Xenopus tropicalis: one gene and its partner. The protein of the gene in region 1 interacts with the protein of each later gene in a biochemical or structural test. Links are inferred from orthologs where the notes say so. Each region holds a gene or a part of one and is shown on either strand. Other genes may lie near its edges.

The links.
Region 2: the proteins of pdzd2 (region 1) and ctnnd2 form a complex in vitro, tested with the Homo sapiens proteins (2 studies listed by BioGRID and IntAct, with this or other methods). The link is inferred for Xenopus tropicalis from reciprocal best matches to the Homo sapiens genes PDZD2 and CTNND2.

What each region holds. Positions count from the first base shown.
Region 1 is NC_030677.2:200,771,267-200,775,403, reverse strand, and holds the start of pdzd2 (PDZ domain-containing protein 2), read right to left. Parts: upstream 2,825-4,137; 5' UTR 2,475-2,824; intron 1,931-2,474; exon of another isoform or gene 1,580-1,930; intron 1-1,579.
Region 2 is NC_030682.2:70,700,573-70,705,010, forward strand, and holds the start of ctnnd2 (transcription factor E2F7), read right to left. Parts: upstream 2,947-4,438; 5' UTR 2,423-2,946; coding exon 2,383-2,422; intron 1-2,382. UniProt on the Homo sapiens protein: Has a critical role in neuronal development, particularly in the formation and/or maintenance of dendritic spines and synapses. Involved in the regulation of Wnt signaling.

The DNA.
Region 1 (4,137 bases):
CATGCCCCCTGTGCCCATTGCCCCCCACCTGGCCTGTTAGACACTATCCAGAGTGGCCATGCCTACTTACACCCCCAAACCAAATCCCTACTGCTTAAACAGACTGCTTCCCCAATCCCCAACCTCAAGGTGGCAAATATAAAGTGTGGGAGCTGCCATACTTTCCCCCTGGAAACCATCATGCCATTTTATACAATGGAAATGTCTCCCATGTATACATGTAAGGCCTCTCTGTTGTATTATGTAAGGGACAGCGCCCCTAGTGTTCACACACAGCAACTGCTGCAACTGCCCTGGGGAAACTGGAGTTGTGCCCCAGTTGAGGCAAGTAATATAGCAGCTCCCACATACAATAAATATACTTCAAATATACCAATAAATAGATTTGTATTGCCCAGTGGCCAGTGGATGCAGGCAACACCACACAATGAGCGCAGGCAGCACAGCATGTCCCCAGAGGCTCATGGGTATTACAGAAGTCATGCCAGTTATGACATAGCAAAGCAACAAAACACAGTAAAAATGGCACAGAAAGCACTAAAGTGGCTGAGCTTGGCACAGTTATGGGCAACACAATATGCCCATCTGCATTTATGAGTGATATAGACTTTGCGAGACTGCGCTATTTATATAAAGTAGGGGTGCACAAGTTATTAACCTCTGCTTTTCTTTGTACTGCAACTCCCAGCAGCCTTCACTGACCCTTGGGCTCTACCATGGAGAAATAAAAACACTGTGTTTGCCTTTGTCCTGATTCTAAGCATCTGCCTGGGCAGATATGGGCCAATAACACCTAGAGAGTTTAATGGGAAATGTGAGCCAATCAGAACCAAAACAAACCCTATGAATGGGTGCCCCGTGGGCTTTCACCTTATCCAGCCAGATGTAAGTCCTCTCTCCTTGCAGCTAGAAGGGGCTCCAAAAACAACTTATTACTACCCCCCCACACTCCCCTTCCTTGCCCATAGCTACACTATAAACTAGCCACTGGCTAAAGCTGGCCACCCACATAAAAACCCACTGACTTGGCCACTCAGATCTCTGTTCAGTTAGGCCCCCACAGGGATAGGGCAACTGGGGCTGAAATGAACATTTAGCACTCAATTCACCAATCCCCGCTGTCCCACTGCAAGCTCTATGGGCCAACATCTGACTGCACCAGAATAACCCCCGGGCAGCGGCTGATAAGGACAGGGATAGAGCAATATAATGCAGATCAGCAGAGCCACGGACCACGTTGGGGCAGGAAGTTAGATACAGATTATTATCTTGTATCAGGGCAGTATCATTGGCTCCCCGGGCACAAAGCTGACACCCCTCTGCCATAGAGCATTATTGGGACAGGGGCACAGGGATGTATAGGGCAGTAGGGGGCACCATACGTTTGGCCCAACACCTAAACAAGGGCTGGCATGTCCGTTATTCGACCAATCTCCTCAGGGGCCAAATGGCCATGCAATGGGGTGAACTAATCTCAGTGTTACATTCAATTGGGATCAACTGTGGGACGAGCAGATCCGCTGCCACACCCCCAAGGTGCCGTATGTGCCCACACCCAAAACAGCCCAATATAACTTACCTCTCAAACTGGTCAGAAGCCCCAGTACTGCAGCCCAATGTTATATTATGAAACAAGGTACGGAGATAAGGAAGCTCAGGAAGCCAGAGGAAACAACACTGCGGCAGGTTTCAGCTCAGGAGCAGAAATGATTAAAAGTAAATATGGGCTGGCATTGCCCTATCAATGTGCTGTGCCCGGCGCCCAGGAGTCAGTTATAGAGCGACGGGCTCCCGTTATTGGGGCACAGGAGTGTCGGGCAGAGACCAATAAACTGACTTTATGAGGAATAGGAAACCTCCAGAACATTTACTGCTGGAAAGAGACATTACTGGTCCCAATGTATTAGGGGAGAAGCAGCCATTAGCAATTAACCATGTGGCTGCCACACTGAGACACACTGATTGCATTAACACCATTAACCCATTCCCTTCCTCCTCTTCCCAGTTTGATGCAATGGCTTTTCTACAATTAAAGAAATAAGAACCACCCCCCCCCCCAACAAGGCAACTTGACAGTCATTATGGGCAGCGGCTAAACAGCTAGAAGCCATAGCAGGGGCCCCAGTGCCAACTATCAGTTTCATTTGTTCCAGTGGGCAGGATACCAGCCCCTGTGTGCCAGGGCAGAGAGAAGGAACCCAATAATACTGCAAGAGGTTCTGCAGCAGCGACTCCCAAGCGACTTACAGCTGCTCTCACCATACACAGTGTAGGGATGTCCCACCTGGTAGTTGAACTACAACTCACAGATCCCATGAATGTAAGAATGTTCCCATCCTAGAGTTCTTCGCTAGGGCAGCTGGGATTTGTAGTTTAACATTAAAGGCATTAAATAGGTAATCAGAACTGTACGCCTGGGGGTATCGGATATAAGTTACCCCCCCCCCCCGCACCCCCATATACAGGCTGCCTACCTGTGTGAGTAGCCGGGGAATAGAGCCGTACCCCGGGCAGAGGAGCCTGTGAGGCAGAGGAGCGTACGGATCAGATCGGCAGCGCAGAGTCAGCTCACAGCCGGCTCCCCCCCCTCTCCGCACTGTTGGACGCGCCCATCTCTCTCTCCCGCCGGTTCCGCGGCTGCTCAGTGGCTCCGGGTATCGCTCCGCGCCCCAGGGATACATGGACTCAATGGCAGCGCCTCCCTGATCGGATCGGAACCCAGAGGGAAAGGGAAGGCTCTGACTGTAATTCAGTGTTATTATATAATACATGTAACGGCCCTAAGCAGGGCACCAAGGGGAACGCACATATTCACTATGATATTAGTGCCGGCCTTTCTTGGCTTTAGGAGAATGCTGGGAGTTGTAGTTTAAAGAAAGATATAGCTATAGTTCGGGGATATCTGCTTAAAGCAGTGGCTGGAGTTCCAGCAAATGGGGTGGATTTTGATTTGGGAATCCACTTTGCACTGAGGAGCTAAGCAGGGGCGGAGCTAAGCAGGGGCGGAGCTATACACAGACTGTGACTGCTGGGGCCAATGGCAGTTTCAGGCCCCTAAAATGATTCTGCTGTGGGGCCCAGTGACTTTACCTACCCCTGGCTACTCCAACCATATACTTGTATGTATATATGGCAGTCAGGGCTGCCATCAGTATTCATGGGGCCCTTTTCTTATGGCCCTTGCCCTACAGGGCCCAAATTCTGAGCAATGGGCCCTGCAAACACAGACAATGTGGCTCCAATTTTTTAATTGAATTTAAAGTTTAAAGCCCTGTACACAGAAGGCCATGCCCCCTGATCTGCCCTGGCCATGCCACATAATGCCAAAACCCACCTATATGGCTCCTCCAAACCCTGCCCACTCCCTGGAGCCCCATTTGCAAATCTGTTATCAGATATCTTGGGGCCCCTGCCTGGAGTACCCCCCCCCCCAGTGGTGGCTCTGTTGGCTCCATGCAGTAGTTTAATGGCTTGGCCCCAGGCCCCACCTTTGCACTGCACCCCCTCCTATCCCATTGGCTTGCATCCAGGCAGGACTGGTGAGTCAGGGGCCCTTGTTAATATGGGGGCCCAAACTGCCAGTTAAGGTAAAGTGGGTAGCAGGGTCCCCCACCAGCCTGACTGGCTGCAGCACAGTTTGACCCCTGGGGAGCCCCCTACTGGAGAGGTAGGTCCCAGAACAGCAGCAACCCTTGTTCTTGTAATCAATACATTGGGGTTGTAGGCCGAACAATTGGATTCTGTAGAACCAGTCACCTGACTCATATAATAAATGCAGGTTGCATGGCTGCACCATTGGGAAACTGCATTCATGGAAATACAGTGCAGTCCTTCTGCTGTCTGTGTCACATGATATATATATATCTTACAGGCATTTTTTAATTATGTGTTCCTATTCTGCCTATTTCCAGACTGCAACAGAAAAAGCCATAGGTTGTTAAGGTCACTGTCCCTGGCAACCAAAATATTGATATATACATTATGCTAAAAGTTAGTTTTAAGGTAAACTGCCCCTTTAAAGCTAAGGATACAGTGTGCAGTCAGGGCGAGTGTATGGCTCAGTCCCCCCTGCCCCAGTGTGGCTCCAGACAATAAGATTCAGTGTGAGCTATGGCTCCCCCTACTGTTAGTGTATTT
Region 2 (4,438 bases), on another chromosome or scaffold:
TGGATCTACTGAATGGCATAAGTACATAGAAGATGTACAGGATTATATAATGACATGTAAGAGGGTCATTGAAAGCCCTATTCCCCTTAGTATTCTGCCTTACTGCCCAAACATTTTAACTAAAAAATATTGTCCTTTCTTCTACTTTTTTATTTTCAGTAACATTTTTTAAAAATTACTAGCAACAAAAGTTCTCATTAGGCAATCATGTATGTACACTGGCATTTATTTATACATGAAAACTGCCAAACAAGATCAAAATCAATGATTGCCCTACAGGCTCTACCTGCACTAGTATACAGTTATAAACTACAGAAAAAATTGGTGCATTAGTTATAATAAAGATTTTTAAATGATTCTTTGTTTGGATCAATGGACTTACTCATTACACAATGTTTAAAAAACAAACCTTAATCTGGTTCCGTGAATTTTGCCAATAATGAATCCTTACCAGCTATTCAAAAACAGGTATTTAAAATGACTGAGTGTATCTTTAAATGCCACCAGTGAAATGCCAAGTCTGGTTCTTAATACATGCATGTGTATAGTGATTGCAACAAGTCTTATTTTTGCAACCTTGGAAATATCTGTCACATAAGACATTACAGCTCAATCTTGACATCTAGAAACCAAAATTTAACACGAATGACACCATAAACATAAACTTTTGTAAACCTCCTAGTGGTAGTCCATAACAAATGAATAATCACATACCACCATTAATGGGTTTTTTTCTCTGTAGTTGTCTTTTACATGACTGATACCAAAGAAAATGTAGGTAGGTCTGCAAAACAGAAGGCTTTATTGGAAATGAATGGGACACTGTTTATGAATGCAATAGATACTGTGGTGCATAATTACACAAAGAAAAAATAGTTTTAGATATGTAAAAATCAGCTTCCTATGTAGACATTAATTATGAATCACTCAAATATTGTATTTCACATTACATGACTTTCACCAGCAGTGCAGAGATTATTCATTCATTGCCAAAAGCAAATGCAACCACAGAGATGCTGAAATACAGTATAGTAAGATAGCAAGACACACACTTAAAAAAAAAAATTAAAATTGGTAAAATGTATCTGTGTTTTCAGTTTGAGTGATGGTTGTGACATTGCCACACATTATGAGCTAGTGATCTCTGACCAAAGATCCCCAATCACCATAACAATAGTTGTACTGTCACACTGCATATCAAGACAATAAACATCTTTTCCATACCAGTTTACCAATTTTAATTTCTGCAGGACACCTAACTGTATGTATTTTGTTAGTTTTTGCTTTATTCATTAAGATTCTAGTTTAAATATCTCAGTGGCTTATCAGATGCAGCTTTCCCAAAACAGGCATCACAGATCTGAATGTTTTGCAAAACAGTGTAGTGTAAATTCATCTACAAAAATATTATCACAACTACAATGGAAAAATAATGACATTTCACATATTAAAACATATAGGTGATAGACGTATTATGAGCCTCTGATCTAACTATTGTAATTATACAGTACTAGATAAAAACATACATTATTTTGCAAATTCATAGCAAATGCAACAAAATAGGAAAATCAATTTTAGCACAGGAAAGAATTATAGAAGTGCCCTTTGTTAATCACATACATAAAACATATCAGCAGAGTCATGCAAATGAAGCTGATCACATATACGGATATATTACATAACATGGCTGAATAGAGAAATGTTTAATAGGGATTTGATATAACCCAGGATTAAGGTTAGGTATTCAAAAGAATACTTACAAAAAAATGCTAAATAGCTAAACTAACTAAATAATATGCAACAGTGAATGTAAAGAATATTGGGCACTGGATATGTTAGAAGTAAAGAAGGTACAGGACTTGGGATCAACTTGAAGTCTTAAATGTCTGATTTGTAACATTAGTTCTGGGACGCAACCACTTTCTGCAGCATTTTTTAAGTGCTATGTCCTAAGATGCATGTAACATAGCAGTGGGACATGCTTTTTCCTCCTCCCTTTTATGTTTCTCTCATTAGCTTAAGGTGGGGGTGGGGGTGGTGGGTGATCTGCTTCCTTCTTCAGTAACACGTAGAGGGTGAGCAAGCATTTAGAGTGGCTAAACTCCTATGAGTGGCAGAAGGGAATTCCATTGACATACAGGTATATTAGTCAGTTCTGCAAGCATGGTGGGTTTGATTAATTATTTACTGGGCCTTGCCCAAATAGGCCCTTCCCTTGATACACCACAGATGTTGGATATCATTGTGATCTATAGCACATGTTTATTCTACACAAAATGGCACAATCCCTGCACACAAAGAAGACATTGCATTCCAATTAAAATCTAGCTAAAAATAAAATGGTGATTCATTGCAATTAAGGAAAAAAAAAAGCACACTCACCACTGGGTGTAGAAGATTCTCCTGGGTTTTTGGCAAACATAAAAGGCGACCGGGTAACAGAAGCAAATATCCACTCAGTACAGGTGCAGCTGCAGCTCTCAGGGATGCTGGCTGAGAAATCTGTTTGAATGCTAGATCCTGACCTTGCAGAGCTGCAGAAGCAACAGTAGCATCCTCCTTCCTGCCGTGTCTAATCCTAGAGAGCTGATCACAGATGCTGATAGCTGCATCCAGTGCCTATTAAGGCAGAAAGAGCTCCCTCCTCCTTTCTTCTTCCCGACTCTCCTCTTGCAGGATGCTGTTCTTTCCGGATCCACTGAATGCTGATCTGCTAGGCTGTATTGTGTATGTGACTGTGATGCTGTTGGTATACGGACATGTTAAGCTTGTCTCCACAGCCTATGGTTTAAAGTCTCTTGGCGTCGTGCTTTGTGCATCAGACATAATGCTTTCAAAGATATGGGATCAGGCAAAGGCACATCTCTCGCTGCTCTCCGTGGTGCTGAAGATAAGTGGATGTCTCTCAAATGAAGGACCGCGCCTGCCTGCACCTCCGCCCTCCAATCCGGTTGGAGGAGGAGTTCGGCACAACGAGCCAGAGGCAAGGTCTGTCCTGCTGGATGCTGATGTTACTGCTGTCGCTGCTATCATGCCAAATTGTGGAGCCTGACAGATTCTGTAACCAGACAGCTTTAGGGCTTTCCAGCTTTTGTAATTCATGCTATAACTTTGTTCTTCTGAACATAAACCCTACTGAAAATGCTTCTAATTTTACTTTTTTTGTGTGCATACCTGATTGTGCATACTGTCTTATACAGACATATAGGTATGGAATACAGTTGCAAAATGTATAAAGATGTAAGAAAAGCACTTTTCATTGGTATTGTCAGACTGCAGTAAAAAAATAATACATATTTAATTCTTTATAGATGCAGGAAAACAGCAAAATATTTACAATGGAAAACATTGGATCTGGGGTCTCAAAATACAGTTAAGACCCCTTATAAAAAAAATATTCCTCAGCTGAAGCATGTGGGACTGACAGCCACATATAGTAAAATAAATCACATTACATTTTGCTAGGTGAACATTACAGAGAGACAGAAAGATAGCTATCTTTCACACATTCAGACTGAGATTTCTTTTGAAAATAACACACAATAGGGGTGATAAATTTACTTATTTAATTTCCAGCAGCTGATATAAATCTTTTAACTAGAAGCAAACAGTCACTATCCATGCTGCAACTTATATAGACCACTATATGGCTTGTTTATAGATATACATGAAAGGCTTTATGGCTTTTATGGGAAGTAATATTCAGACAATAAAACTCACCCATACTGCATTATATGACCCGACTAAGGTAAGAAGGGATACCAAATAAACGTAGCAAGTTTCAGGCTGCAGCAGTTGCCAAAGAGATTTGCAGTACAGGTATTGGATCTGTTTTCCAGAAACCCATTATCTAGAAAGCTCCAAATTACGTTAAGACTATCTCCAATAGACTCCATTTTAATCAAATAATTCAATTTTTTAAAAATGATTTCCTCTTTCTCTGTAATACAGTTAGATCTGCATTATTTTCTTTCAGGTGATCTCCGAGGGAGCACACGGGACATCACAAAAAAGTTGGCTCAGGGTAAAACATGTATAAAGGCAATATTTACTGATACATATATTTCAGTTTGGAAAGATTCTACAATAAGCCACTGTGATATAAACTATCAGTGAAGTATTCATTCTCTGGGAGTAGTTCAAATGTGTCCCCCGCCCTTTGTATGGACACCAATGCGAAATACAATTAAATGACATTGTAGTTATAATACTAAGGCAAAAATGTATCTGTAATAACCTTTCAACAATAAAAGAGTGAATGTAAATGTTCACACAATAAAACGGTATATATGAGTATAGAGAAAGGAAGTATTCTTAATAATAATAGAAGTGGACATATTTACGCCGAAACATAGTGAAAGAAAAAACGCATGCGCAGGAATTCTAGGTAGGCAAACCGTTACCATGGTGAAAATTATTTTTACGCATGGGCATATAT